2 linked regions of the Lepisosteus oculatus genome follow. The protein of the gene in region 2 interacts with the protein of the main gene of each other region in a biochemical or structural test. Links are inferred from orthologs where the notes say so. Each region holds a gene or a part of one and is shown on either strand. Other genes may lie near its edges. The genes, in order: vrk1 and coil.

The links.
Region 1: of the proteins of coil (region 2) and vrk1, one has a biochemical effect on the other in vitro, tested with the Homo sapiens proteins (2 studies listed by BioGRID and IntAct, with this or other methods). The link is inferred for Lepisosteus oculatus from reciprocal best matches to the Homo sapiens genes COIL and VRK1.

What each region holds. Positions count from the first base shown.
Region 1 is NC_090703.1:1,341,998-1,357,899, forward strand, and holds the start of vrk1 (serine/threonine-protein kinase VRK1), read left to right. Parts: upstream 1-8,047; 5' UTR 8,048-8,186; intron 8,187-8,192; exon of another isoform or gene 8,193-8,283; intron 8,284-8,646; coding exon 8,647-8,806; intron 8,807-9,548; coding exon 9,549-9,601; intron 9,602-9,824; coding exon 9,825-9,894; intron 9,895-10,491; coding exon 10,492-10,579; intron 10,580-11,084; coding exon 11,085-11,193; intron 11,194-13,200; coding exon 13,201-13,293; intron 13,294-14,521; coding exon 14,522-14,654; intron 14,655-15,065; coding exon 15,066-15,186; intron 15,187-15,310; coding exon 15,311-15,369; intron 15,370-15,902. Other genes in the region: protein phosphatase 1 regulatory subunit 37, read right to left, coding at 4,303-4,400, 5,950-6,097. UniProt on the Homo sapiens protein: Serine/threonine kinase involved in the regulation of key cellular processes including the cell cycle, nuclear condensation, transcription regulation, and DNA damage response.
Region 2 is NC_090704.1:46,850,994-46,866,340, reverse strand, and holds coil (coilin), read left to right. Parts: upstream 1-7,059; 5' UTR 7,060-7,064; coding exon 7,065-7,462; intron 7,463-7,835; coding exon 7,836-8,886; intron 8,887-9,225; coding exon 9,226-9,315; intron 9,316-9,672; coding exon 9,673-9,720; intron 9,721-9,936; coding exon 9,937-10,006; intron 10,007-10,614; coding exon 10,615-10,706; intron 10,707-10,810; coding exon 10,811-10,894; 3' UTR 10,895-11,065; downstream 11,066-15,347. Other genes in the region: scpep1 (retinoid-inducible serine carboxypeptidase), read right to left, coding at 79-192, 548-632, 1,757-1,885, 2,300-2,337, 2,830-2,902, 3,878-3,952, 4,277-4,432, 4,774-4,863 and 2 more; rab11 family-interacting protein 4A, read left to right, coding at 13,977-14,129. UniProt on the Homo sapiens protein: Component of nuclear coiled bodies, also known as Cajal bodies or CBs, which are involved in the modification and assembly of nucleoplasmic snRNPs.

The sequences.
Region 1 (15,902 bases), on a different chromosome or scaffold from region 2:
TGTCCAGTAACATCACTGTATACTGTAACACCATCCAGCCTCTCCTGCCAGCTTAAGGACCTCCTCCTGGCATCTGACAAAGGATCAGCTTCTTTCTTATTGTTCTTTGGATATTGTGCACTGCATCTCCATCATGATTCATTCTTCTTGAAAATGTTCATCACAGCAAACATACTTTGTCCCATTTATTTCTTCCCTTTCCCCGGTTGCTGGCCCATATACATACCATTACTTTCTTTTCATTGGGTTGGCTTGACGTTTTGCATCATTTCTGTATTCAGGGTCCATGCATGTTACTGACAGCACACTTTAGACCAGAGCACAAAGCAGGCTTCTCCTTGGGAATGATACATATATGACAGTTAAGCCTTTTCATCAAGCTTTTGAATCAAGCTTTTATTTGAGAATATATAGGATAGGAGTATAAAACAAAACCCTTTCCTTAAAAGTGTGATCCTCACTCTTGTTCCCAGAGTGAAACTGAAGTAACCTGGTTTCCAGTCTGTGTGAGCACTTAATAACTTAATCAATTATTGATTTAAATGGTCTAAAGTGCAAGGGTTTTCTCAATTCTTCAGCCACTGGGGATTTGAAATCACCTATAAAATCTATAATTCCCTGGCACTATTTTCTGGATTAAATTTTGACCCATCCACCAGTTTCATGTTATAAACCAACACTTAATAGAGAGTTTCTACCATTCAGGTGCAAGAAACCAGTAGTAAACCAAGCCTCTATCACGTATTATGTTTGTAATTTGAGATTCTTGGCTGACTTGGGGTTTTGATGAAATCCAGGTCAAGTAGTGAGTATTGCTGCCTTAAAAATCCCAGCTCTTATATAACATGGCTTGTTTCCACCCACTCACCACAGTATGTGAAGTAAATCAACACAAAAAAGATATAATTTTCAGCACTAAGAGAAGCAGTCCTGCCCTTTAAAATGTAGCTGAGGTATTCTCATGGTATTCTGTGGATCTGGGGCACTAAAATCGTAGCGATACATGGTCGTGGAACCAATACCATTACATTATTGTGATTATGAAGGAATAGTTAGGTGGCAAACTTAATGTGAAAGCTTTGCTAGAAATTGTAAAAACATGAAATCAATCATAGTTAACATTGCCGCTGAGAGGTTTGGTACAGTGGAGAAGAAGACCCCCAGTGCTCCTTCTGCAATGAACAGGAGAGCTGCCAAAATTCTGCACTTAAGACATGAGCTGAGAATTGTGAAAGGCAAGTGAGGAAAGAGAACACCACTGGCTGAGTTAAGCAATATCCTCAGAAGAAGCCTATATCCCTGCGTTGGGCGGAATGGCATAGGAGATGGGCGAGAGACAGGGCCAGGTAAAGCAAGCTTCCTTCTTTGCAAACCTGTTTGGATTTATCAAACAGTTGCTTGAGAGGACGCGCAGCAGCCAGCTCTCCTGTTCTAAAGAGGACATTGGCTGTTATCTGTGGAATACCCACAGTGATGAAAGACGAGAAGAAGATCTCGGGGACTGCTTGGTAAATCCAGCAAGATCTGGCATCAACTTTGATGAAACAGAAGCCAGCTGGAAGGAGATTCAGGAGGCTGACAAAGCTGCTAGAGCGAGCTCAGCACCTGGCCTGAGTGGAGTACTCTAGAAAGAGTACAGGTGATGCCCGAAGCTTCTCTTTCGGGCTTCGGAAGATTTTGAAGGTTGTCCGGTGGAGAAGGCAAAGTGGCACAACAGTAGAGGATGGGAGAGGGTGTCTGTATTTCTAAAGATGAGAGCTCAAAAAGCATTGATTGATTTTAAAATGAAAAGGATCATTTCACTGCTCAACACTGAGGAGAAGATATTTTTTAGCATTGTAACCCAGCACTTGACATATCCTTAAGAACAATTACATATAAATGTCAGTGCGGGATGGGATCTCTAAGGTGCCAGGTTGCTTGAACTTAGCGGACACTATTAGCTGGGGTATCAAAAGCAGTAAACATCAGCACCTAGAAAATTGGGCCATTGCATTTGTCAGAGCTGGTCAGCAGCCACAGCCCAAAGTATCAGTGGGTTTCTTGGCAAAAGGGAGAGATTGGCAGCTGAAGGTCGACCTAGGAAGGCAGCTTAGGTTCCCCAACACCATCATAGTGACCACACTCAGGCAGATTGTATTGTTGGGAAGACCCAGTGGAGGAGGTTAATGAAAGGATGAAGATCTGTTTGACCAGTGTCATGTGAACGGGTGGAGAGTGCGGTGTGAGGCCATTGAGGTGGGCTGCAGAGGATTTGTCTTCTACAGTCTTCTGGGCCTAACAGGGGTGATCAAGAGGAAGGCCATCAAAACCACATACACGCTGCAGAAAGAGCCTCAATATGGCTGTGGATCAAGAGCAGTGACTCGTGGGCAACAAAGTCACCTGGACGCATCCTGGGGCTTTACCAACCCAGACTAGTCACCGGGCGAGGGTGTCTGACGTTGAAGGACCTGAAACTCCCAGTGACCTCAGGTAACATCACCAATGATGTGTGCAGGTGCATCAGCGGAAGTATTTTTCAAAAACAAAAGCACAAGGATGCATATTTGATGCTATACTACTATAGTACATGTGTAAAAAGTACAATACATAATGTCATCATAAGTATTCAGTCTCTGTGACGCAAGCTTGTCCTTCCAGCTGGTTGTGTGGAGTTCCTGGCTGGTGCACACAAGGACAAGCTAGTAGAGTGACAACGGACTTTCTCCTCCACAAGCTTTGGACTGTCACATTCCACTGGAAACTCAAACCCTCGTTAGTGCTGAGAAATAATAGGCTTTTAATGTTGCTACAAAGAAAATTACTGCTAAATAGAACTGGATTTTTCTATTTCATGTGTGGTGAACTAGTACAAAATCAACTTTCATATCAAAACGCATCCCATATTTTTGGGTTGAAGGACACCAGTTTAGGAAGTGAAAAATAACAAGGAACAAGTTTCTAAAAAGTTGATGAATGGAACCAATACTGTACTGTATGTCCTTAGTAATTTAACGAAGACTGTGGAAATTAAAACTCCAAAATATACAGCAGCTTTTGCAGTAGTCATCTACACAAACATCCGTTAGGCCAAATACAGTTGTAGATGTTGTAAATTTGCAAATTAATTTCAATGAATGCATCACTTACTTTAATAAGTAATCCATTCCCTCATCCCAAACCCTTCTCTGATATAATTTGGTGCCTTCTAGTGGTAAATCCATTACAGTAATTCTTTTCATGCCACAGAAGCTAAAGCACAACACTCCAGACTTTATCTGTCCCTGCAGAGAACTTCTGAGGGTGTTAGGCCTTTAGTTAAGTCTAGGGCCCAGAGCCCTGTGTTCAAGCCCATTATTGTTTACCGCTCTTATGAAGATGTAACCAACAGCAGTACTGCTTTATCTACTTGAAACATTTCAAAGGAAACTGAAAGCCCACGGGTACAATAAATGCTTTAAATAGTCTTTCAAGGCCATTCTCACGGGACTACCCTGCCTTCAAATACCTAATTTAATAAATATGCTATTTAAGCTGCAATTTCTGTTTTGCATACTCTTATTATGACTTCACTTGCAGCCTAAATCTAAATATTTCTCCATTCAGCTGCTGCATACAGTAGCCATACATATTATACTGCTGCATGAAGACCACTTACAAAACTTTTCCCTTCATTCAGGATCGTTTACTTCTACAAGATAATACAGTAAATCAGCCTAATCTAAGCTGATATACTGTATCATATCAATCTTTTGACAAATAATTCTCCTTGATCTAATCATTATTTTTACAGATGGTATCTGAATACAAATAGATGCTAAAAAGGAGGGTAGCCAAATTAAAAGGACGGATATTAAATTCATTATATATACTTGTCCTTAATACTGTATGTGATAACTCAGTAAAATAAGATGAAAATTGAACCCTTCACCTTCTTCCTTTAACCCACCTTTTAATTGGTTTAACTTTTAACCCATACTCATTTCCTTTTAAAATTGCTCATACCAGCTTTAATTAATGTAATTAAGATAATTCATTAAACTTTTTAATTAACTGATTATAATATATTTCAAAGTGTACTCTGTAGTTTTGATGTTTAAGATGTGTAAGATTCACCTCTGACTTGTCATTATTTTGTTGAACATTTGTGCTTTTCCAAGTTATAGAAATATTAGATATGCAATATACTGTAGACATACCACATACTATAATTCACCAGTGTGGTACATTAAATCAACTTCAAATCTGACAGCAGCCTGAATTGACCCTCATTGTCTTGAACGGGGGATGGGTGCAGAGATTCATGCTCTATATACTAACCTGGAGCTGTTCCAGAATCATTGACTTGGGTTCCACTTGGTGCTTTTGACAGGCCTGCTTATAGTTTGCTATTATCTCTTTCAAGGTGATGCTGTCTACTGAAACAAAAATATTCCATCATTACTCACTAAACATATGTTACACGCACTTAACAGGGACTGAGTTTTCACTAAAAACTTAATCTAGATTAAAGCTGTCCCCGTTTTGTATCATTATTTAAAAAGGAGAAACCAAAGTTATAGGAAGTCTCAAGGGTTGTGTGAATCAGCTTTAGAGACATGTTAACAAAAAAAACACTCAACTAACAAATAAATGACCATTAGTGCTTCCTGTCTCAAAGAAATATCTCATGAGGTACACACTGTCCTGTGGAGAAGCATACCGATAGTACAGAACACAGGGCTGTCTCTTAATGCTCTTTTAAACCAAGTTCCCTAAGGATTTGTAACCTTTAGGTCCTGTCCCAGAGCATTGAGGTCAGGTTAAACTTACCCAGACTCTTGAATCCTTTTCTTTTGGAATATAGTTTTAAGGAAATAAAATATGTTTTTGAGCTTATTTACCTGCCCCATAAAATAGCTGTAAGTATGCTAGAGAGATTTTTTGTTTTTTGGTGTGACTGCAGAAATTATTGCATATAGGTAAATACTACAAAAGGTAAATGCAGACATTTAATGTGAGGCTTGAGGAAATGGCAGTGTTCACTTAATCTTGATAAAATTAGTTATAGGATACAGTATGTATTGATCACAGCAAATGTGTTTTAGTCTTTTTCATAATTTGACGGAATTATCAAAAGTATTTTAAATCGGAAAAGAGAGTAAACATAAATACATAAATGGAACAGATAGAGTAAAATGGGATACAATTATACCTAGAGAACAAATTGTGGTCAGAAAATCTGAAATACTTCAAAAGAGATGCTATGTGGTTTAGGCTCAGAACTCTGAAGTAAACATTCAATAGAATACAATTGCAGTAAAAAACAGAATAAGGTAAATTAATTCTTAAGAATCATGATTGTCCATCAATTCATAGTGATCTGGACCATCTTTAAAAAGTGTTTCTATTTATATATTTTATAAGGATATATTAATTCTAACAGGAACAGCAAAGGCATAAAAAGACACAAAAGAAAAAATAACTGTGGTTTCCTTACAGTAAAAAAATTAAAAGGGACAGAAAGCAGTGTTTTAAAAATAAAATGTGGTAGTGCAGTCAAGCTATCTTAAGGATACAATTCCATTGAAATACATAGTTTTGTCCTTAAAAGCAGTGGAAAAAAAGTGGTTTGACATTAGGAAAGGGGTGCGAGTGGAAATATAATGAGTACCATAGTGTTCTAGCTATGTCATCAGCAGCAGCATTTTACTGTGAAAAACAAGAGATATCAGGGTACTTAAAAAGACAAGCTGCAAAGTATCCCACATGACCAGTTAATTAAAGTCTGGGGGACACTGGTTGTAACCTTCGTAGAATTCAGATTTATGGGGCTCAAACCTGAAAATACAGAAGAATGAGTGGCCAGAAAATGTCCAATAGATCTTACATTCCAACTCACTCCACTTCACCACACACCCTCTCTACTGTATATCTACAGTCTGGGGAATGCAGAGATGAAAGGGTACAAAAAGGACATCAGCTCACCGTCCCTCCACACGTCCTTGTGCTCAGCGAAGCCTGACACCATTTCTTCATCCGATGGGAAAGACACACGCTTCTCGCCTTTGCTTTTCTTTGTAAACTGGAGAGAGGGAGTCAGTGCTGCCTTGCTGTGGTCCTCAGAGTAAGCCATCTCGAGCTGTGGGCTCAGCACCCTGTCAGTACAGGACTGGAGTTAAACCAGCTAAATGTTGTCTGTTCACAATCTCCTTGACTTCCGCATTTCAGTAAAAACAAACTGTATTTTTTTCTCCACACAGTAATACCTAAGATAAAGTGCACTGCTGTATGTGGATTTTAGTCGAATTTTCAGATTCTGTTCCTTTTGCGTCCTATTACGCTGGAAAAACTGTCGTATTAAGTCACTGTTCCAGGTTATATACTTTTTGTATGCATTATGAAGTCAATCAGTATTATTACTACCAATAATAACAAAGCTAACCTATGAAGAACTGTCATAATATAGAGTTATTAGCATAGCTAAGATATGCAGAATCTTAAATATGCATCTTTCCTATTCAGTAGTGCAAAATGCTTCAACAGATAGTAACTCTCTGAGGACACAGGTCGGTGCTGAAGTCTGAAGTCCTTTTCTCTGTTCTACACTTTTGTAAAGCTGATATAGGATACCATGCCATTAATTATTTATAAGGCAGTCTTTTAACATGCATGTGAAATTCAATATTTCCATATCAAATAGCCAGATAAAAGAAACTAAAGCTAAGAAGGCATAAACTACATTTGCACAACACATCTTATTTTAAAGGACCTCTTTGCTAAATGCTCTAAGTGTGCCCTGGGTATGCACTATGGAGATTTCTGGGAATGAGTTCATAGGCACCAAATACTAATTATTAATATGAAGACACAAACGAACTCTTCAAAGTATTGTTAATTACCCCTACGGGTGCCGTGTCAGTAATGAATACATTATGTGCAATATGCTGATCACACATCAACAGGGTGAGGAAAAAAAAGTTTCGCTTCCATTCTTCTTTTGACTGTGAATATGAAAGAAAGTATTCAATAATCTGGCGGTGTGTCCAGGAGGCCTCTCCTTTCTTTTTGAACGCAGCGAACAATCCGACAGTTAAGGATGTTACAGTTTTGTCCGGAGAGGTTTCGTGTGTTGTGTCTAATTTAATTTTGCTACAGTTTCCGCACACGGGGAGACGCGAATGGCGAGCGGCTTCAGAGCCCTGCCTCTCCGGCGCAACGTGTTCGCTCCGGGCTCTGCTCGTTTCGGAAAATGTCCGGATTTTGTCCAGCAGCCGGGTAGATGGTCAAAATGAATGTGAATGAAAGATGATTGCGGCTTCTTTCCGTGCCGAGAATCCCTTGACACATGACCCAATTTCCTCCTCTCCCTTCATCCCCTATTGCTGGGGTCTCCAGCTCTAGCCGCCTGCAGAGCACGACAGCAGCGCTGCAGCTGGACTCGTTAAACCTATCCTCGCTGAAAGGAAACCATGGACAATTGTTAAAATTACTATAAAATGCAAATAATAGGCTTCATGTACGCCCATATATACCTTGCATATATACCAGAAATACAAAAGGGGGAGAAAAATGTTATTTACATCCCCACGTATAAGAGGAAACCTTACTGCCCCCGACAAAACAAGTGCTGTCTTGCAATAAATACAAAGAATGCAACTCTTTCGTGTAAAGGCTGTTACCATCTCAGAGTTTCTGAAATATTGAGACACTGGCATCTGTAACTTTTTGATTAAGCTAAGTTTGTGATAGCGTGTTGTCGCTACTGCTGATAGGAATTCCAAAAATAACAAGTCTCTAAGAGGTACATGGTATACAGAGAAGCAAAAACTGAAATAAAATGTTGTTTTGGCATAGTTTAGGCTATCAAATTTTAGAATGGTCTAATTAGAAAACTGGTATTTAATTTACTATTGGCTGTTCTTGTATACTTAATTTGTAAGGACGAGCATCTTACAGGATTTCCTGGTATTTCAAACGCGACTTTTCACTCACTGTGTAAGAACTACAAATACCATCAACCACCGACGAAACCCCGGATGTGAAGCGCGCACTACTCCCGTTTCTGACCAATGAGATGCTCCGTTGTTGCTGTGTTTGTGGAAGGTGTTCCTTCTGCTTCTCAGTGCGGGAATTTCGGAGTGTTGTGGTCGTCAGGAAGGAAAATAGGAAGAGCTCAGAGTCTTGGTTTATTCCGGATACTATAAGTTTTGGTACCTTGAGAGGTTAGCTATCTTCACTGTCCAGTTTTTTTGCACGATCACTGAGGTTTTATTTGGAAACAAAACAGGAGCACGGAAATTGACGAAGCAGTAAATACCGGTAGGCCGTATAAGTCGGTGAAGTTAGACTTCCCCGTAACGTTTTAATAACAAGTCCTAACATTGTGATGTGTTACAAAGCGCGTGAAGTTCCAGCAAAACTCGTAATTAAATTTGACTGCAGTTCATGTCCTGTGGAGTTACTATGTACGTTTTGGCTTTTCTCGTCGTGCTGTGTTTTCAATTTGTGCAGCTGACCCACAGGGAAGGTTCAGTCGCCGCATGTAAACACTCCCAGGGTAGCAGCTGACAGCCCGGGTTAAAGAACTAAGCGCGGCTCCTAAGGGTCGTCTTCAGCGGGTGTTGAGAGCTGTCTTGGACTCGTGGTTCTCATCATGTGTTTTTACTGTGTGTGTAACGCCAGATGCCCCCGAAAGGCAAGGTGGCGGGGAAGGGCAAGGCCCCGGCGAAGAGAAGAGTGGCCGAGCGGTTTCCCCCGGGGGAGGTGCTGGCCGACACGGCGAAGAAGCAGTGGAAGCTGGGCGGGCCCGTGGGCGAGGGGGGGTTCGGGGTGCTGTACCTGGGTGAGTCTACCCGAACTCTGGCTGGAGCGGGTTCTGCTGATGAGCTCCCTTTATCCACTCCGCAAATGGGTCAGCCCCGGCTGAAGGTCTTGGTATCGGTCCGGGTATTCTCGGGTCATCTTTCCAACAGAAGCTCATGTTTACAGTGCTCTGAAGATCCCTTTTTTTTCCTTTTTCATTAAATTGCAATTAAATTTCAATAAATCCTTCGCAGCTCTCCTTCTCTCTTGCGGGAAGGCTAATGCGTGATTTTATCTCTTTTAGGCTTGATTATTACAGTGCAGTTTTGGGTTCTTCACTTTCAGCTGGTTAGAACTGCTTGGGTCTTAAATAAACCTGCATTTCTAAAGTAAATGTAACCTGCACCGCCTTCTTTTGGGTGTCTGGGTTTGAATAGGAAGGGCCCTGTTTTGTTGCTCCAAGACTGGAGTGATCTTCTAACCCATATCAGATCTTACAAATCACTCAGCACTTTCAAATCTGGTCTTAAAACTCACTTTATAAACTGGTTTTATTGTCAGTTTACTGTATTTGTGTATTATTACCTCTGTTGTTCTATAGTAAAGTACTGTGAGATTCATCCTGTGATTTAAATCTAATTTCCATTATGTGCGATCTTAAATTGATGTTTTTAGCTGTGCATGTGTGAGGGGATATGTAAAAGTCTGTCACTGTTAATTGTAATTGAATTTTTTTATGACTGTGAAACAAACTTGGGTAACGTATCTGATTTTCTTTTTAGCTGATGAGAGTTCTAAAGCAGTTGGGAGTGATGCACCTTATGTCATTAAAGTGGTAAGATTTCTTTTTTTGAGAGACTTGAATTGTTGATTTTGAATAGTCCCTACTGAAAAATCCAAATTATATAGACTGCATTATTTTAGTGCGTGGGTGATTCTTGTGCAGTTCATGTAAATACCTGAAAAAGGGTGCCAATTATATTTCTAATACTATAGATTATAACTTTAAGGTATGTGTTCAAACGTGAAAACTACAGTTGTATACTGTGCTTATACAGGAGCCAAGTGACAACGGACCTCTTTTTTCCGAGCTGAAGTTCTACATGAGAGCTGCTAAACCAGAACTAAGTAAGCTTTCTATAAGTGTGAGGATTGTAACACTCTTGTCATTTAAATATATAAGCACGTAAAAACTTTTTTATTAAAAAGTTATTCTTCAACAACTTAAGGGACAAATACACACACTGCAAAATGCTTTTGGTGTTCTCTGTGGCCCAGGGGTTTGGATTATATAAATTAAAATTCTCATGTGCATCTCCCCAGACAATTAATCTTTATATTACTAAGTAAGATTCATATTTTATTCATTAAACTTTCATGTTGTTGGTAAATATTCGGCCCACTAGCAAGTTTGCTTGCAGTCACTCATAACTTTGCCTCAGTGGAATTGCATTATTATTACATAGCATACAAGAAAGTTGGATTTTTTCATTAAACACGTTTAATTGATTTCCCCATTCTTGATTTAATTTTCACTTCAGTCGGCAGAATCTGACTATACTGTATAGTTTTTCAATAAAGTATGATCAATTTTCTCCAATGCATTTCTAATCTGCTTTGGATGCTGTATGTGGTTTCTGCACAGTGAAAGGTTACATTCACGGGTTGACTGAGTGTGACCGACTGATTGGGTGTGAAGGTTTTAGACTGTTTTTTCCTGTTTAGTTCAGAGCTGGGTGAGGTCTCACAAGCTGAAATATTTAGGAGTCCCGGCGTACTGGGGATCTGGACTGCACACAAAGGGAGGGAAGAGGTGAATCTGCTTTTAATGTTTCACTGCGTAATTCAGCATTTCTTTGTCTTCAGCAGTGCATCTGGGAAAGCCTAGCAATTTAAACTGTATCATATCTTAGTGACTAATATGCCAAATGTTTAAAATAGTTTCACTTTTCAAACCATTATATTTCATTATTTTCTATTATGTGTGGAATAAAGCCCTTTTGTTTTAGAGGGCTGTTTAAAGTTTTGTAGAAATAAATGCTTCTTTTTCAAAGATAATTTTCTCAGCAGCTAAATATACCTAGTGCTGTCACTAGGAAGTGAAAATATTAAAAAATCAGAAATAACAAAAAACATTACTGTACTATTTGTTAGCTTTATAAGGACATTTTCTTTGATAAGCTCAACTGATTAGAATGCAATGTTCTCATTATTTCATCATTGTCCTGACAGTTTAATTCATCATCACAGCTTGTACTGTTAACCTTTTCTAAAATCCAAAGTGATATATATTTTTATAAATGTCTTCACTGTTTTAGATATAGGTTCATGGTTATGGACCGATTTGGTACAGACCTGCAAAAAATCTTTGAAGAAAATGGAAAGCAGTTTTCTCGAAAAACAGTCCTGCAGCTTGGACTGAGGCTTGTAAGTAGTTTGATTCAGCCTCATACTTCTGTGACTGTAGAGTAAACAAGATAATGTCATTTAATTGAAAGTGTTCATTTAACATGTAGTTCTGCAAATGGCTGCTGCAGCACAATGCTGTGATTTTTAAATGAACAGAATATCGCCAACATTGTGATTTCAGCTAACAATGGTGCTGTCATTCTAATTGTGCTAACGTTTTCCAGGTGAGAGCATAACCTCCTTTCACTTTAAATCTTGATTCAGAGCATAATCACTAACGTTGGGCTCATTTTTCTTGCCAGTTGAAACTGCTGATTATTATAACGTTGCTCTCATTAAATTATAAAAGCAGAAGCTCCAGTTCAGACATGTTCGATTTTAACTAGACGTTGTCCTCTATGGACCTGAAAGCTCCCTCTGAGCTGGAGCAGCGATGGAGGTCAGCTAAGGTCTGTGTTGATGTCCAAAAGTCCCACTTGATGTAATGCAGGGATGCCCTGGCAAAAGCTTAGGCTAATTATTTATCTGCTTCAATTCTAGAAGAGAAAAATTAACAATTTTTACCTATTGCAGTGATTTGAAATTTCTCTGAAAACAAATATTCAACCATAGCTATCTTTTGTAATTTCTGAAATTTCTCTGCCTCCTGACTTAATTTGCCATTGCTGTTTATCCTACAAATAGTTCAGCTCTGTCTACCAGTAGCTTGTCTTGCTGTGATGTTGAGAAAGTAGTCTTGGAGCTGCACCCTGCTACTGTTAACTTAGATCCCTGACCTACCTGGGTTTTCAAAGACTGAACACTCCTCTTTGCTCATTGATTAGATATGTCTTCTAAAATCCATGTTTTCTTTTAAGGGTTTAGCTAATTATGTATCAATACTATCTTTATATAAAATACTGGAAAAAGGACTGCTAATAGTAACAATTAGCTAGAGAAGTTTCAGTCTGGATTTGTTCAGATATGAGCATAGTAACTGCCTTATTAAAGATTAACATTGACCTTTAAATGAATTCTGGAAAAGGTTGGCCTATTATTTTGTTAGAAATGTTCTTTGCAGTTGATACATTTGCTCATACAAGCCTTTGAAATCATCTGAGACTTTATGTTGATCTTTCTGGTAAGGCTGGACTGGTTTCTTTCTGGTCTTCAAAATCTGGGTGCTCTGAGGTTTGCTGTTCCTTAGAGGACCATCCCTGGGCTCCTTTGGTTGGGCTACATGCCGCCTTTGAGGACAAATAGAAAATCTAAACTTGACATTTGTTGAGAGTTTTTGCAATTGGCTCTAAAGGAGGCTTGGCATAATATGACTCCATTAATGTCATTTTAGAAGGAAATGTTGATTTATTATTGTTTATACAGAACTGAGCCTTCCTTCAATTTAAATTCTGTTGTTTAAACTTCTAGATTCAAACCTGCATAACTTGAATGATGTAGACAAGTACATTTATAAATTCATGGCTTGATTTTTGAATGTCTTGGCTTGTTCAAAATGCATCAGCAAGGCTGCACGTGCCCACAAAGCATTCTCAATCTGTTAAAGCAGTTATAAAATCACTACATTGGCTATTTCTGAGTCATGAATCATTGAATTGACTTTAAAAATGGCTATATTAACATGCAGAGGTCTTTGAGGTAAAAGTCCTTAATATCTTCAAGAGCTCTGAATTTCATGTTACTCTCAGATCTGAGCAATTTGACTCTCTGGTTGTACTGGAGAAGACCATAAAACAATAAGCTTATTGCTGTTGTGCTCTCCATCTACTAAATTCTGTTCCACTTGATGTTGGCTGAAATATACTGAAACTCTTGAGTTCTTTGAAGTCCAAGTGAAAAACCTTTTTTTTTTATTGGTTTTCATTAGTAGCTAAGCAGCAGTGTTGTTTTTTTGTATGTATAGTATGTGCATTTTGTATTTGTTTAACTCTGTGCAGTCCTCTTTTTCAGAGCGTTGTATAAAAATAGGTTTGACACCTGACCTCCCATGGTGCTGTGGTGTTTGAAGCACTTGTCTTCTCTTGCTAGCTCGACATCCTGGAGTACATCCATGAGCACGAGTATGTGCATGCAGATATCAAGGCCTCGAACCTTCTTCTTAGCTACAAACACCCCAATCAGGTCAGTGTCCTCGTGTCATGTTTTTATTTTAGGATTTCTAACAGAAAGAAAATGATGGTACAGTATTTAACATTGTTTTTTTCAACTTGTTAATACCAATATTACGATGTATATGAAATGATTGATGCAGTTTGCTTAAATTAAATTTTAAGACCCTTTCACATTAATTTATTTAGTCTGTGTGCTTGTGTAAAGTGAAGATTGGTAATAAGGATGCATAACAGAATGCTGTGTTATTGCTTTTTATACATTATTTCTGTTTAAGTTGTAAGAAATAGAGGTCTACCTATGTTTGTATGCTGTGCATGTGATACCTTGAAAAAATAGATGAAATAACTACAAAGCCTGTTCAAAGCACATTAGATGAGCAAATATTTAATTTGGAGATTAATAATGCAACAGTGGTATATTATTAAACTGCTATTTTTATAATTAAAATTTAGACTGAGACCTCTTGGGATTGTTGGATTTAGTTGTTCGCCTTTTCCTTAGTTATTGAAATGTGAATGACTTTCAAGCTGTTCTTTCCTTGCTTAAATGTTCAGGGCTATAGATGCAGCATGTTTGGCTAATTTAGTTTATATAAGCTGTGTACTGTTGATTTGGCTTCAAATGTATTCAAACCCTTGGTACAAACTGAACTTGATGTAACTGAAAATAGGTTTAACAAACAAATTCAGTTGTGTTCAAAATTATTCACACCTCAGCAGTCATTGTGTTATTGTTACTCCCTTGTGTTTAAGAAGAATGTAGAAAAGGTGCTGGACCGTGGGGCTAATGTTTTTATTCTCCTTTAAGCATTTGGCAGTAGATGTGGAAGAATGTTTCAGGTCATTATAATGTAATTTCTGTTTGTGATCAACCGAACGAACCAGGTTTTTGGATAAAATACCGTGATGTACCTCGTAATCCACCCTTTGCTCAACTTGTTATAACTAGCAGCTTCCTTGCCAGTAATGGGTTTAGTGCACTGCTGTTAAATTCCTTTCTGACCAGCTGAAGTAGGATATTTTCCAGAAATGTCCTGAAACTATTTTTTTTTATCATTGAAAGCTTATCTACAACATAAAACCTTTTCATTTATGTTTTGTGCACTGCAGTTCAATCTGCATCTAAAACTTGTATAGATTAATATAGGTTTATTGCATAATATTTCTCATTGTATATAACTATGGATATGGATACAAATATTTATCTAATTTATATATTTATATATTTGCAAACTCAGGTTTACTTAGTAGATTATGGACTGGCCTATAGGTATTGTCCAGAGGGGAACATAAAAGACTATAAAGAAGATCCAAAGAGGTGTCATGATGGGACCATTGAGTTCACCAGCATTGATGCACACAGAGGAGCAGGTACGTTAGTATTCAAAATGAGATGAAAATATTATTCCCTCTATATGAAGATAGCGTTACTTACATACATTATGTTCTACCCATCTAAATAATTAGATTTTTTTACAATTGTCTTCAGTTTAATGCGGAAAGAAGGTAGTTGACTCATCTGAAAATGACAAATGCTGAACTTATTGAATATGTTGTTTTTCAGTGTTTCAACTTTCCAAATACTTTTATGGAAATGAAAGCCTCACAACCACAAGATTGTAATAGTCAAAGTGCAGCAGTTTTTTTTAAATCAAACTTTATTAATGTTCCCAATTACTGTTGTTGGCAATATTGTAAAAACCTGTGCATATTATCAAGATTTTTTTGTTGGATCTTTTGAAACATTATTGCATTTCTTCTGTCTTTCCAATTCCTTTCCAGCTCCCTCTAGGAGAGGAGACATTGAGATCCTGGCGTACTGTATGATACAGTGGTTGTGTGGCCGCTTGCCTTGGGAGGATAATCTGCAAGACCCCAACTACGTTCGAGACGCAAAACTCAGGTAATGGTTTAATTTCACTGCAGTCTGAATTTATTATGCAAAAGCTGCAAAAAGCTGACATGCTGAATGTTTGATTTCCAGATGTTTGTTTTTTAAGAAAATTAATTCAATCAACTCATTCCAGGTGCAGAGAGAACATTTCAGATTTTATTTCAAACTGTTTTTCAACCAAGGAAAAGCCAGGTAAGTGCAGATATTTGTGTGCATATGTGGTGCAAAGTAAATTGTGAAATACTCTGTAATATCTTTCATTTTCCAGAAATTTGTTAAATAGGAAAAAAAAATGCCTATTGAATCTATTGAAACAGAAACTGAATCACAGCTGCGGGGCTCCACAGTGAGAGTTTAACCACTGCCCAGTGTAACAATTAAAAAAATATTTCAAATTATGTTTATGGTTTCCTGAAAAAAATGTTTTGGAAGAAAGCTGAAGCACAGAGATTATTTTATTAGAAACATTTACTGTCCTAGTTTAGCTGTCTTCTTAAATATGTATTTAGAAATCTGCTCCATAAGTTCCCTTCTTAATTCCTTTTTTAATTTAATTAAGAACTCTCACATTTAACTCGAGATACGTAACTGTGTGAGTTTAGTAACATGTAAGCCAGTGATTACTATGACTAGCATTTATAATTAGTTTTGTGTATGAAACGTTTGCTTTAATTTTAAATTTAAAAACTACTAATGGTTGCAATTAATATTTCAATGTCAAGGTA
Region 2 (15,347 bases):
CGTGGGGAAACAGGAGCAAACACAGGGAAGGGAAGTGCAGAGCGAGACCGGGGGTCCCTCGGCTGGCCTGGCACGTACCTCCCCAGGTGACCCGGCTGGGAATGATCTTGAGCTTGTCTCGGATGGGCCCGTTCATCAGCTGGCTGAGCGTCTGTCCGTGCAGCGGGCCGAGGCAGCGGCGCTGCAGGGAGACTGCGGGAGACAGCGGGAGCGGGGCTGAGCGGCCGGCGCGCGGAGGGAGAAGATCGGCGGCCGCCAAGAGCACGAGCGCACGACGGGTCTCGGGGATCTGACACCGCGGCGCCGGCGTCGGGCTGGAGTGTGTTTAAAGACACGTTAGGGTGCCATTGTCAGTCTTTGTGCCCACAGTGCCCAAGAGCAGCCCAGAGCTCACTCTCCGTCAGGAATGAAGACCCCAGGGCGGGCAGAGGCTCCCCTGACTGCTGGAGGCGATCTGGGAGGAAGAGAGCCCCCCCCTCAAGAGGAGCAAGGGCTCAACACGGCAGGAAACCCGGCACTCGGGAGAAAAAGAAAGGCTCGTTTTTACCACGGTATCCATTTTTTGCCACAGCCTTCCGTGCCTCATCGGGGTCCTGGGTCAGGATGTTGTAGAAGTTCACCCCGTTGGTGTTCTGAAAGGGCAGGACAGGGTCCAGAGTGACCGAGCGCTCCTGTCCACCGGGGAGGTCATGACCGGACAGGGGCAGGGGCAGAGCTGGACCGAAACTGCCCCCAGGGTAGCCTGCCACAGCTCAGACAGGAAACTAAAAGTTCAACTACGACTTGAATGGTGAATGGGTGCCTAATCTGACCCACAGCCCTGCCCGCCCAGTGGGCGACTCGCTAAGTGTGCTGGATCATGCCAGACCTCTTCCCTCCTGCTTGAAGAAAGCAGTTGTTCCACTGGGAGAGTGGATCCTGCACCGCCTCCAGGGCCGTGTGAGCACGGCCCGCGCCCCTGCTCCCAGAGTGCCGTGTGAGCTCGGCCCGCCCCCCTGCTCCCAGAGTGCCGTGTGAGCACGGCCCGCCCCCTGCTCCCAGAGTGCCGTGTGAGCGCGGCCCGCCCCCTGCTCCCAGAGTGCCGTGTGAGCGCGGCCCGCCCCCTGCTCCCAGAGTGCCGTGTGAGCGCGGCCCGCCCCCTGCTCCCAGAGTGCCGTGTGAGCGCGGCCCGCCCCCTGCTCCCAGAGTGCCGTGTGAGCGCGGCCCGCGCCCCTGCTCCCAGAGTGCCGTGTGAGCTCGGCCCGCCCCCCTGCTCCCAGAGTGCCGTGTGAGCACGGCCCGCCCCCTGCTCCCAGAGTGCCGTGTGAGCGCGGCCCGCCCCCCTGCTCCCAGAGTGCCGTGTGAGCGCGGCCCGCCCCCTGCTCCCAGAGTGCCGTGTGAGCGCGGCCCGCCCCCTGCTCCCAGAGTGCCGTGTGAGCACGGCCCGCCCCCCTGCTCCCAGAGTGCCGTGTGAGCACGGCCCGCCCCCTGCTCCCAGAGTGCCGTGTGAGCGCGGCCCGCCCCCTGCTCCCAGAGTGCCGTGTGAGCGCGGCCCGCCCCCTGCTCCCAGAGTGCCGTGTGAGCGCGGCCCGCCCCCCTGTTCCGAGAGTGCCGTGTGAGCGCGGCCCGCCCCCTGCTCCCAGAGTGCCGTGTGAGCGCGGCCCGCCCCCCTGTTCCCAGAGTGCCGTGTGAGCTCGGCCCGCCCCCCTGCTCCCAGAGTGCCGTGTGAGCACGGCCCGCCCCCCTGCTCCCAGAGTGCCGTGCAGTGAGGGCTCACCTGCTCCACCACGGTCTCAGTGTTGGACCAGAGCTCGGTGGCCTTCTGGAAATCTCCCTGCTCCATCGCCTGCTTCACCGCCATCGCTGCTGCGTTGACCTCCTCCAGCCCGCGGTCGTCCAGCAGGGACTGGGGGGTCATGGGAAAGGGTGAGAACCCGTCACACAGCTCTAGACAGGAGACTCTGAGCCCCCCGGAGCAATCCCTCTTCCCACTACCCTGTGGACTAAGGAGAATCCGTAATCTAAGACTTTAACCAACACCGGAGCAGCCTGCTTGGCTGAACTTTTAATGCTTTAAAAGTGATGTAATGAGCATTCTCCCCATACTTCAGACAACACACTTTTTAAAGTTGCAATCCTGGTGAGACGGCAGGTGTATTATGGTCTACAAGAGCAACAAAATGTTATCGGAGGTAATGTAGCATCAGAAACACCATCAATTTCCATCACCCAGATTAAGCACCGGCGCTGTGCAGTCACACTGGGCTGAGAGATCAGCGTGTGTACGGGTCACACCAGACAGCGCTGCACTCTTACTCACTGTGCTGTACAGGTAGGGCCCCCAGGACAGAACCGAATCTAAAGAGAAAAAACAACAGTTTTTTTCATTTCACCACATTTCCAGGAGAGATACATGTGGACTTGTTTTAGCACTTCATTCTAGACGAGCCCAGACAAGCCCAGAAGAGCCCGAATCCCTTTCGCACCAGCGGCAAGTAGCAGACGGGGAGCACGGCTGGCCACTCAGTCCAGCTCAGCTCTCTCGGCTGCCGGTTTGCTAACCGGACCCTTAACCTCAAGCAGTTTCATCCTGCAGGACCCCAGGAATGTGGGCTACATGGTTTGCCCATGTTTTGTCCCATTGGGCTACAAGAAAATGTGTTCACCTCCTCATGCCTTTCCTAACAGCCCTTCCTCGTTCTTTCTGCATCGTTGCGCTGAGAGGAGAGGAGCAGACCGCTGCTAAAATTCTGCAGTCAATTATACACCGATCCCACTGGTAAATGGACACTGGTGCTCCTTTGAGCTCAGAGCCTCTTGAGGAGCAGTACAGCACAGACGTCGACGCACCTAGAGGAGAAATCCACGAGTCTCCAAGAGCAACTCCAGCAAATCTGCACTTGATCAGGCCCTTCTGCACAGCCTGCAATAGAGCACAGAGGGCACAGAGCACAGCAGGGTCAGAGGTCAGCCTCCCTCCATCCCTCCGGCTGCAAACTAGAGGAGAGCACGAGGCCCAGGCCGCGACCCCCCAAACCGCCTCCAGCCGCCTCTGCAGGCTCCCACACTCGGCCCGGCCGCTGAGCCGGCGCCGTGTCCCGAGAGGGGCGCAGGAAGACGGGGAGGCGTGCAGGGCTGCAGACGAGAGGAAATCCGCCAGTCCGCTATCCAGCCCCTCCCTCGGCAGCCTCGGCCCCGACGGCCCCCCTGCGCAGAGCCCTCCAGCGCGGTTTCACAGGGAGGACGCTCTCTCAAGGAAACACTCTTCCGCCCGCCTGCAGATCACCCAGATCTTCTTACTCCCCTCCACCAGACAGATTTCTCACGTTATTATTTACACACAGACAGCAAAGCGCTGATCCACCGCAGAGCCCAGACTGCTGACATCTCAGTTTCACTTCCCCTTCCTGCCCCGAGGTGCTGAGCGCCGGGCAGAGCGTGCCAGGGCTGGCCACCTTCCCCGAAACACCCCGCAGGCTCCCCCAAACCCTGCACTCCCCAAATCCCCACACAGGCTCCCCAGACACCCTGCACTCCCCAAATCCCCACACAGGCTCCCCCAAACCCTGCACTCCCCAAATCCCCACACAGGCTCCCCCAAACCCTGCACTCCCCAAATCCCCACACAGGCTCCCCAGAAACCCTGCACTCCCCAAATCCCCACACAGGCTCCCCAGAAACCCTGCACTCCCCAAATCCCCACACAGGCTCCCCCAAACCCTGCACTCCCCAAATCCCCACACAGGCTCCCCAGAAACCCTGCACTCCCCAAATCCCCACACAGGCTCCCCCAAACCCTGCACTCCCCAAATCCCCACACAGGCTCCCCAGAAACCCTGCACTCCCCAAATCCCCACACAGGCTCCCCAGAAACCCTGCACCCCATATCGGACAGTACCTCGTGCAGGCTCAGGGAAATAGCCGAAGCCATTTTGCCTCCGTAGGACTCGGAGAAGATGTAGAAGGGGACACTCTGCAAGAGAAGGAGAATGAGAGAGAGGAGAAGACTTTCAGCACAAGACTCCGAACGTGACGTTTCAAACTGCCCCAGGGCCTGAGCGAGGGGCTGAGAGAGGTAAGCATCCTCCACTTCATATGATAACAATAGCACTCTACACTGTATATTGCATTAGATAGTTTTCAGGCCTGAAAGAAGCACCTGTGTGACCTGGAATCTCTACTCGTAGCTTTAACTGTAGTTTGATAAATCCTGCAACATGCGCAGACCACCTCCAACGAGGCAGATGCACTGATTTATGGCTGGCGTCTCCCAGGTGAGGGGCACCTGTGTTCTCACCTGGAACTCTGGCTGGGCCTTGAAGAAGGCGGTCAGCAGGACCATCATGTCGGAGGCCACGGTGGCCACGTCCCTGGCCAGGGCGCCCTCGCTGTCCGTGTAGCTGTAGCCCGTGCCCACGGGGTTATCCACAAACAGCACGCTGGCTGCCTGGACCTGCACACAGACACCGGGGGGCGCTATGTTATCCACCTCGGGCCTGCACTCAGTCGGGGGGGGGCTCTGTGTCAACTCAGCTCCCGGGAGCCATTTGAACTAGGAGCTCAAACTCATCTCCCTACTCCAGCGCTCAGAAGAACGTTTCTAATCACAGGACGCCCTTGACGTTTCAAAGCAGGCAGGCCAGGCCGCAACAGGGAAAAGTGCACCGCGGAGCGATGGACTTTGGTGCGGGTTCAGATGAGACCCTGGAAACGATGACAGTGCGCAGCAGGGGGCGCTAGTGAAGTGAAGTGAGCACGGATCCGCGCGCAGGCGTGCGCCAGACTGGTCTTTACCCAGGTGGTGTTCCTCGGCCGCAGGTCCCTGTCCAGAGGCCCGATCTCTTCGAAGTTCCCGAACCCGCAGCCAGATCCCCCGGGGCCGCCCTGTGGGGCAACAAGACCGCGAGAGCAGTAGAGCAGATGCCGCTAATGAGCCTGGCACACGGGGCGTACAGGAGCCCGTGCTCTGAGGGGACCCCAGTACCTTCACGCAGGGGTGTCTCTGGGGGTGGAGACTCTGCTCACCTGCAGCCACATGACCAGAGGCAGCTGTGTGAAGTTCTTGGAGGGGTTGTTGGAGTAGTACAGCCACCAAAACATGTGCGCCCTGTCTCGCACGTCCACGTACCCCCAGCTCTCCCGACCCCCGCCCGGGGCCGGCGCCGCCCAGCCTGCGAGACAGGAAGAGTCCGACCGGTACCTTCAGTACCGCGCTGGATGGGGCCCACCGGCCCTCTGTTCAGAGTCGGGCCCCTGTGTGGTCTCAATCTCCACATCACTCATTTCGGTGCCGAGACCAGAAAGAGCTCACTGGCTAAACACACCTGTAACCTTGGAGGACTGCTGAAGATACTGCAGAGGAGGACAGGGTCTCATCTCAGGCTACAAAGACAAGCTCTTTATGCAAATGATCATGCAAATCACTGAAAGAGCGACAGCGGACTCTTGGACCTCAGGCCGCGGCCGTGGGATATTTACCTATACAGTTCGGTCTCTAGATGTGTTTACACTCGACTCCAGGGCTCAGTTCCAATGGCGCGGCTTCCTGATCAGACAGTTTGAGCTCAAGTTTCAGGTAAGAGTTTCTTCCTCTCTCGGAGAGCCAAAGCAAACAAAGGATTTTCCTGACCTGGGCTACCTTTGAGCACCAGAACTGTCTCTAAGCTGCGGGAAAGCCTTTATTTCCCTGCGATCTGAACCGAGCTAGTGCGCTCACGCTGCGGGGCAGAACCCGGGCTCAAGCGAACCGTCAGCTGATCGCTCTTCTGCGGCACCGATCACCCATCAAAAAGGAGCCCAGAACGATCAGCTTCCCCGCCCGTCTGCGTTTTTCTCTTCAAACTCGTGTTCAAAACTATAAAGAGATCCATTTTTAAGTTTCCCCGTTAACCCCCCCCCCCACAAAAGATCCGGCGTCAAAATAAAAACCGAAAGTAACACCGTGCAACAGCTCGACTCAGGGAATAAATCTAGAATAACAATAAAAACCGACAATAAGTGTGTTCGTATTAACGCTCAGACCTGCAAGAACAGCGAAGCACAGGAGCAGAGCACTCTTCAGGACCTCCATCCTCGCACAGTCATATGACTTTCCCCGTCAGCTGATTCCTGGCGCCTCATCTGACCAGACACCGCAGAGATCGCGGGGGCGCTAGATGGGCTCTGCTGGAATCTCCGCCATGACGCGCTGCGCCATCTTGGGAGGGGAGAACGGGAGGAATCCGGCAGCTCGAGGAAAAGCTCACAGCGGCTCTTTGGACCCCCTCCTTGTCGTCATGGGGTACAGCACCTCACTCGAGGTACAACAGCAGCGTCTGCAGCGGGGACTCGAACCCACAGCCTGTCAGTCTATAGACACTACTTCAGGGATATTTATTTCAAGGGCAGTGTGCAAGAGGATGGAACAACTTTCAAATTCTCCTGCCTCTGGTTTCCAGCACTAGGTGTGACAGTAGCGCGGGTGCAGACTACTCTATATGTAGACCGCAGCGGGCAGCTTAGCAATGCTCACGGCACACAGGTAAAAATAAACCCTAAAGTACCCGCCTGCTATATCGCAGGGGCTGTGCTGCAGTCACGTGTTATCACCTCGTACTCTATCAGGTATTACAAGCAAAATGATTAAGATAATAAAATTATATTAATGAGATATATGTTTTTATTTGAATTGCTATAAAACACAGCTTTTTTCTGGCTCAGCCCTTAAAAGTGTACGTACAGCTCAACGCATGTACTCTAAGGCCAGTAATACCTGTGAAACCCCGGCGTCCTGGCCAAATTTCCCATTGGCCCTTACCAATCATGGCCTCCTAACAATCCCCCTCTATGAATTGGCTACATTGCTCTCCTCCCCACTGAGAGCTGGTGTGTGGTGAGCGTTCTGGTGCACTATGGCTGCCGTCGCATCATCCAGGTGGGGCTGCACACTGGTGCTGGTGGAGGGGATCCCCATTACCTGTAAAGAGCTTTGAGTGGAGGGTTCAGAAAAGCGCTATATAAGTGTAAGCAATTATTATTATTATTATTATTATTATTATTAACACTATTCCCATCCCAGCACGAACTGCTTTAAACACCTGGGAGAAATGGTCTTTGAGGTCAGTGGGGCGCAGCTCGCCTCCGGTCCTCCAGGTGGCGCTGTCGGATCCAGCGTATTAAAGCGGTTACCGCTCTTTCTCTCGCGAGTCGATTCCCCCGGAAGAAGCTGGGAGGGGGAGGCTGTAGTAAACATCATGGCCGCCCCCACGGTCAACGCGGTGCGGGTCCGGCTGTACTTCGATTACCCGCCCCCGGCCGTGGCGGACTGCCGCATGTGCTGGCTGCTGGTGGACCTGAACCAGTGCCGGGTGGTGGCCGACCTGGCCAGCATCATCAGGGACCGGTTCGACTTCAGCCGCAGGACGGTGCTCAACCTCTCCATGCAGGACTGCTACCTGCCGCCCACGGAGAGCATCCATGTCATCCGCGACAACGACAGCGTCAGGTGGGCGCCTGCCGGCTGGAAGCATTTATTTTAATTCTGTAGAAATGTGAAAAGTGCGAAAGCAAGATAACATTTGTTAGATGTAAAAAAAATACTTTGGTTGTATAATTAACTTCATTATCTCTGGCAGTTAATTTTTCTGATTGTCTTTTTTCTCTTGTATTGGTTTCTGCTTCTCTAGTTGTACTTGTAAATTCTTCATACATTTCATATATTTTTTTTAAAAAAACGTAAAATGATCAGTCCAGTCTCTCGGCCGATGAGAGCTCGTCATTTTGCCCCTGCCTGCCCTCGCGTGTGTTCTGTGAGACGGGGGTTCCTGCGTGGCCTGAGCTGACCTCTTGGCTTCACCTTCACTGTGCCCCCCCCACAGGGTGAAGGTGGAGAAGGTGGCGGACGCGAACGGGTTCGACTGTGGCGGGGCCAGCGAGGAAGACTCCTGCAGGGAGATTGCCACCCGCAGGGCGAAGAGGAGGAGGAAGGACAGCGAGGCCGGCGAGCTGCAGGCCCAGGAGGACCTGGACAAGCCCACGAGGAGGAGGAGGAGGAGGAGGAAGGACAGCGAGGCCGGCGAGCTGCAGGCCCAGGAGGACCTGGACAAGCCCACGAGGAGGAGGAGGAGGAAGGACAGTGAGGCCGGCGAGCTGCAGGCCCAGGAGGACCTGGACAAGCCCACGAGGAGGAGGAGGAGGAAGAAGAGCGAGGCCAGCGAGCTGCAGGCCCAGGAGGACCTGGACAAGCGCAGGAGGAAGAAGAAGAAGAAAGAGAAGAAGGGGAGACAGCCGTCCGCTGAGCCGGCGCCGGGGCCGGTCCCCCAGGAGAGCGGGGCTGCTGCCGCCTCGGGGGAGAGGAAAGGGGGGGTCAGACCAGGTCCCCCCACCTCCTCGGACAGCAGCAGCGACGAGGAGCCCCGCTCCAGCAGTGCGAGCGCCAAAACCAGCTCCGCCGCCCAGCAGGGCGACCGAGCCCAGAGTGGGCCGAGCAGCTCGGTCCCGGGCGGGAGGGCAGCGGCCGGCCGGCGCCCCTCGGACTCTCCCGGGAGCACGGGGCCCGGTCCGGAGAGGGGGTCCCCCGAGCGGGCCGGGGAGGCCCCTGTCCCCCGGGCCAGGGCGGAGAGCTCCAGCTCGGACAGCAGCAGTGGGGACGAGCCGCTCATCAGGCACCCGGGTCTCAGGGGAGGTGACGCGGACCGGGCCCCCCGGGGTGTCGCAGGGGCCGCCCGGGGCTTGGGCAGGGGTCCTGCGCCAGGGGCCGGGGGGGTGAGGGGCCGGGGGGACGGCAGGTTCCCCTGGAGGGGGCTTGGACCCAGGGGGGGCCGCGGGAGGGCGAGAGCAGGGCCCAGGAACCACGTGTACTACAACTACAACGGGGGCGAGCAGCAGCACGACGGCGACGCCCTGACGAACTCGTCTGTGGTGCTGCAGGTGAGTCTGCACGCCGGGCGTCAGGACCCGGGCGGGGTCTGGAAGCCCAGCCCGGTCGTGTTGCGCAGGGAGGAAGGGTGGAGCTGTCGTGGGGAGGTAGGGAATGTGATTTTGTCGCGCACGACTCCTCTCCAGCTGTGACAGCTGACTAGCCCTGCTGTGATTAGGAGCTACAGTCCCAGCAGGAGCTTGGTGAGGTGGGAGAAGACTGGACTGTGAAGTGACCAAGGGGCAGGGAGGGGTCAGTCTCTGGAGATCGAGCAGAGCCGGGCTAGGGGTTGAATCCTGGTCCCGAGTCGATCCTGGGGAGTCACTCCGATGGGCTGTTGTGCTTTGCAGAACCCTGCTGCCGATGCCCCCAAGAGAGACTACAGTCTGCTGCCCCTGCTGGCCGCCCCTCCTGCTGTCGGACAGCTGATTGCCTTTAAGGTAAGACGGGGATTAAAAATAAACTACATTTTTAGTGGGTTGCCTTTTTCAAATTGGGGAATTGTTGATCCTCAAGAAAATGGGTCACTTCTGGATCCGGATGGCCGGGTCTATTCTCGTTCGAGTGGGGAATGAATTTGAGTAGTACGTTTTGAGGTTGAGAGTTGTGGGGAGAAACCTATCAGCCTAATCAGTCAGTGTTCATTATCTTCTCGCTCTGTGTACAAAGGTCAGAGGTTTTGGTTTAACCAGCTTTTAATTTTCCCTCCAAAGAGAGGTTTAAGACATGGCTCTGTGCAGAATGTACAGCCTCAGTGACACCTCCTGCTCCTCTCTCTCCATCTCCTTGAAACGCAGTTGCTGGAGCTGACTGAAAACTACTCGCCGGAGGTCTCCGACTACAAGGCAAGTCCCTGTTCTTGATGCAGGGCTTTAAGAGGAAGGTGGTGGGGTCCACATGCTGGTCTGGGGAGAGCGGTTCTGCGATTGAGCTCGGATGCTCCTGCCTGTGGTTATGGAAATTGTGCAGAACCCCTGAAATCTGAGCTTAACGTCTCGACGGTCCCAGTTTCTAACCGTCTGCTCATCCTGCCATCTTCCTGCCTGTCCTTGCCCCCTCAGGAGGGGAGGATCGTCGGCTTCGACCAGAGCACCAGGCAGCTGGAGCTGGAGCTGCTGTCGTCCGCCCCAGGTACCGCGTGACTGAGCTGGGACAGCCCGCTCCAGCAGAACCGATCCTGGGCTTTCTCTTTCAGGTTCCTCTGGGGAGGTGCGAGACGGACATGGGCCGGGGAACCTGCAGTGTTACAACACTAGAACAGGAAGTGAAGACGGGGTCTGAGCGCTGCAGTCTTGGGGGGGGGGGGGGCTCTTGAAGGGTCTCGGGTTGAAAACTGATTTTCCTCCTGAGGCTTTGCATTGTGCTTCAGCTGGCTGAGAGGAGCGAAGGACTGGAATTTGTACTGTGGGGCTGCAGTCTGATCATTGTCGGGTGCCGTTGTCCTGAGGAAACAGAGAAGTGGATCTGTGCCTATTTATCGTCATGCCTCCGTTAGTTGAAGTTTAGGTGGCAGGTGGTGCTACGTGCTAGAGCCAACAGCTGTGAACATCTGGAGTGGCTCAGTTGCGTGCAGTACAAGCAGCCTGCCGGAGTTGGGGGGCCTGGGGATTTGCACTGGGGGTGCAGACGGGTTTGGTTAGTCCTCCCCCACTCCTCGCCAGAACCTGTTCTCCTAAAGCTGCCGTCTCGTTGGCGGTTGAGCTGTTTGGGTTTTAACTGGTGTCACCCTGGCTTCCCAGCAGCCCCAGCCGAGCCGGGGAAGTTCGATCTGGTGTACCACACGCCCGACGGCGCCGAGATCGTGGAGTACGCCGTCTCGCGGGGCTCTAAGGTAACCGCCGGTGTTATGGCCGCGTGATCATGGCGGGGGGCGCGGGGGGGCGGGGGTCCCCCCTGTGGGCGTGCCGCGTGACTGAGCCCTGCGGTGTCTTGCAGCTGACGGAGCGCTGGGACTCTCTGCTGGAGCCGCGGCTGATCGTGGACGGCGCAGAGGGAGGCCTGGCCGGCGCCGCAGACTGACCAGGAGTCCGGGCCGCGACGCCGCTCGCCTCGAGGAAACTCCCTTTTAGGACTTTTTTTTTTTAATACTGTGAACTGGTTTATAGCGGCTCTTACTGCAATAAGAGTGCTTTTTTGTATAAAGTTACAATTGAGCAAGTTTTAGTTAATAAATGTTCCTTTTCAAAGCTACCCTGTAGCAGCTGGGCTCCTGGTGGCCGTGTCTCGGCAAGGCGGGGTGTAGTTCCCCTTTCCTGCCAGCAGGGGGCGCTTTGGGGAGCGTTTGTGCTAAAAGCGGAGTGAGGGCTGTAAAGAACAGGCAGGCTGCAGGAAACATAGCGAAAGCAGTGGGAGGTCTGCGCCCGAGCCCTGCGTGTGCTCGGCTCCGGTAGGACAGGACAGGACTGGCCTGCAGTGCTGATGCTACACTGGGGCCAGAATGAGCTCAGTGGAGTCCCTGCGCTACCAGGGGCTTGTAGTGGGGCCTGGGTGCTTTGCTGTGTGACCGTGTGTGTGTGTGGGGAGGAGTTCGGGATGTCTCTGCGGCTCGCGGGCAGCCGGTAGTTGCCCTGGTGCTGTCCTGTTCCTCTCCCCTCCCGCTGTTCTGCACGTAGCGCTGCGCTCAGACTCGGTTGCACCACCAGACTCCTTCGTTCACTCTGATCCCTCTGCAGGCCGCTATTCCCTCCGTTTTTGTGTGGATACAGGGGTCTCCCCGCCTGCTCCCGGGGAGCCCCACGCCTGCCCGTTCTCACCCCGACCGCTGGAGAAGCCGGTGCAGTGGAAGTGTTTTACTTTCCCCCTGCTGGGTATGAAACTAGTTCAAGGGCCGGCTGGGTGTTAGGGCTGTGGGCAGGACGGGGGAGGTTCGAAGACGCTCTGGGCGGGGGGGGGCCTTCACACTCTCGGTCTTCGGCGCAGCCTGAAACCCTGAAGCAGCATCGCAAACACGGGGAACACGCTCCGCCTTCACAACCCGGCTGTGTGGCTGCTCCCGGGGGGGGTGTGGTTGTGGAGGAGAGAGTCAGGAGAATGGGCCGTGTGTGTGGGGGGTACAGGGTGGAGGTGAGAGGTGTGTGTGTGGGGGTACAGGGTGGAGGTGAGAGGTGTGTGTGTGGGGGTACAGGGTGGAGGTGAGAGGTGTGTGTGTGGGGGTACAGGGTGGAGGTGAGAGGTGTGTGTGTGTGTGGGGGTACAGGGTGGAGGTGAGAGGTGTGTGTGTGTGTGTGGGGGTACAGGGTGGAGGTGAGAGGTGTGTGTGTGTGTGGGGGTACAGGGTGGAGGTGAGAGGTGTGTGTGTGTGTGGGGGTACAGGGTGGAGGTGAGAGGTGTGTGTGTGTGTGTGGGGGTACAGGGTGGAGGTGAGAGGTGTGTGTGTGTGTGGGGGTACAGGGTGGAGGTGAGAGGTGTGTGTGTGTGTGGGGGTACAGGGTGGAGGTGAGAGGTGTGTGTGTGTGTGGGGGTACAGGGTGGAGGTGAGAGGTGTGTGTGTGTGTGGGGGTACAGGGTGGAGGTGAGAGGTGTGTGTGTGGGGGTACAGGGTGGAGGTGAGAGGTGTGTGTGTGTGGGGGTACAGGGTGGAGGTGAGAGGTGTGTGTGTGTGGGGGTACAGGGTGGAGGTGAGAGGTGTGTGTGTGTGGGGGTGCAGTGTGGAGGTGAGAGGTGTGTGTGTGGGGGTGCAGTGTGGAGGTGAGAGGTGTGTGTGTGGGGGTACAGTGTGGAGGTGAGAGGTGTGTGGGGGTACAGTGTGGAGGAGAGAGGCAGGAGACCAGGCTGTGTGTGTGGGGGGGTACAGTGTGAAGGTGAGAGGTCTGTGGGGGTACAGTGTGGAGGAGAGAGGCAGGAGACCAGGCTGTGTGTGTGGGGGTACAGTGTGAAGGTGAGAGGTGTGTGGGGGTACAGTGTGGAGGACAACCGGGGCTCCCGCCTCATGTTTCAGCCGCTAATGGAAACACTCGCTGCTCTGATGCGCCGACCGCACGCTTGCTGAGCCTTAAATCATGAAAGTTCAGTGCTTCTTTCTGGCTTGCTGGCCTTCTGCGTTGCAATAAAAAGGAAAGATCACGCTGTGGAGGCGAGTCCTGGCGCGGGGTTAGTCCTGGGTCCAGTTTTTTTTTTCCGTGAGATGTAACTAAAACACCCCCGCGCACACACACGCACAAATAATTGAAAGACCAGGCGTGAATTTCTGTTCTAATAGACAATGCAAAAATGGGATCTGTGAAACACCGCGATCTTAACTCCAGCAAAATCAGGTTTAATTTGTTTTTTTTGTGTGGTCGATGTAACCAGCTTTTACCGGGACCGAACTGAAGTCCGGCAATCGGCTGCTACTGCCACACGCAGCTGGTCCAGCAGGGATGGACAGGTCAGTGTGTCCAGTCGGAGGTCTGGCCTTGAAGGGCAGGTTTCGCCTGTCCGTCCTGGAGAGATTTGTACGTCTCGCAAGTTTGCTGCATAAACCATCTTGCAGAACGTGTGAGGACTGAGTTACAGTCCACTATACACTAGAGATATTCTTTTGTTCAGCGTGGGCAGCTTGCAAGGGCGTCCCCTGGAGGGGACAGCAGCAGGTCCTGGGTGTGGATTTCCGGTCTGTCCGCGTCCCCTCTCGGCAGGACGCGCCGCAGGTCGAGGTTTGGCCAAATTCGCGCGTTTCGGAGGAAAGTCGCACCTGAGCTCTTCGGCTCTTCAGGTGAGCGCACAGCCGGGTCAGTCTGGGAGAGTACGGGAACGCAAACACAGTCCTGATTCCGAATACACCCCCCACCACCCCAGAAACCGACTCGACGTGACGTCCCGTGGGGGGGGGGGTGTTTGTTTTTTTTTGGAAGCGTTCCATCAGTCTCAGTCTCCGTCTCCCCGCCCAGCGCCTCAGCCCTCGTCCCTCCCCGCTCCCTCCCTCCCTCTCCCCGCCGCCAGCGGAGCTCCCCGGCCCGGTGAGGCTGTGATGTCACAGCCGGGCTGCTTTCCAGCGGAGTCGAGGAGGAGGACGGTCATGGTGCCGGCAGCTCGGGTCCTGCCGCCGGCTTCCCGCTAGACCCCCCCAGTGCCGCCGACCCGGCGCCCCGGGATCCGGGAGAAAGCCCCCCGTTTCTGGAGGATGGACGGGCAGGGCAGCGCCGAGCAGGAGCAGCTGCTGCGCTTCTTGAAGAAGCTGAAGGAGGTGTTCGACGTCTGCGACCAGGATGCAGCCGGATATATTCGGGTCGAGCATTTCGTTCACCTGGGCTTACAGTTCGGGCAGGGAGACGAGGTGAGGCGCCTCGCCAGGGGCAGGGAACAAACCGACAGCAAATGTACGCTTCGGATGCGTTTTATTTTTCAATTGCACATCCTTGTTTTCCCAAGAAAACAGCCGACGTCACACTCCATCAATAATGTACGGAATAGTGAGGGGTTATTGCCAGCCGGTTGTGGGGGCGAACAGAAAAACCTTATTATATCAGGATGTATACAAAAAACACGGGGAATTGTGAAATCTGAGACCGAGGTCGTCGGCCTGTTTTGAGCCGGGCTGAAATGTTTTGATTCTTGTTATTGACTGACGTCTCTCAAGTTCATTCGCGGACGCTTTGTCTAGGACCTTCGGTTGGAAATATTACACTTTTTAAAATAAATAACGGTGTTATTTATTTTGTGTAGCCTGTAGTACAGGTGTAGATTTAGCGACTTCACTCTGTTTAACTGAAAATCTATACATACACAGGGTTATAAATAATTCAAACCAGGGTAAGGACATTCCCTAAGGTGTTTCTGTTTGCGTGCCTAGTCTTGCGGTCGTTTTTTTTTTCTTGTAATGGTCTATTTATGTATTTATTTATCGATTCCTTTAATATTGTAACTGGGCTCCACGCCGGGGCGGAGATCGCCCACCGGTTGCCATGGATACAGACCCGCTGCCCGCAAGGCTGCGTGGAGCGCGCATGGGATCTCGTGCCTGGTGCCTCGCGCCTCGCGCCTCCTTGAACTGGCAGCGCGTGGCGTCGCGCGGTCTTCGGTGACGACAAGCGTCCGTCTCCCCTGATCTGAGAGTGTTGTGAATCCGGAATAAAAGTCCTTGAGAATCGGGAGTATTGCAGCCCTCCAAGATCAAGGGTAGAGCGCCGTGCTGTTTAAGGCTTTGTGGTCACTGGCAATCAATATTGCAACATGCAGAAAATAGACCTGTCTGCCATTATGACATGCTGCATTAATCATATGTTTATTTTTCATTAATATATGTAGTATGAGTATTTCCAGTATTTTACATAGACATTTCAGAAGGTGTAGTGGCATGCTCTATATAGACGGATGTAACATAAGCTGTACTGAAATGGGTTACAATCTCAGGGGTTGGGGGGGTGTTTTGCATTGTAAATAAACACCATTGTGATCAATCAGCCCACATTACTGTCCCAAAGAGACTAACCTGTGGTGTTGGTTCCACACTGACTGATAGATGATCTTCTCCTTTGTTGTTCACCTTGCTACC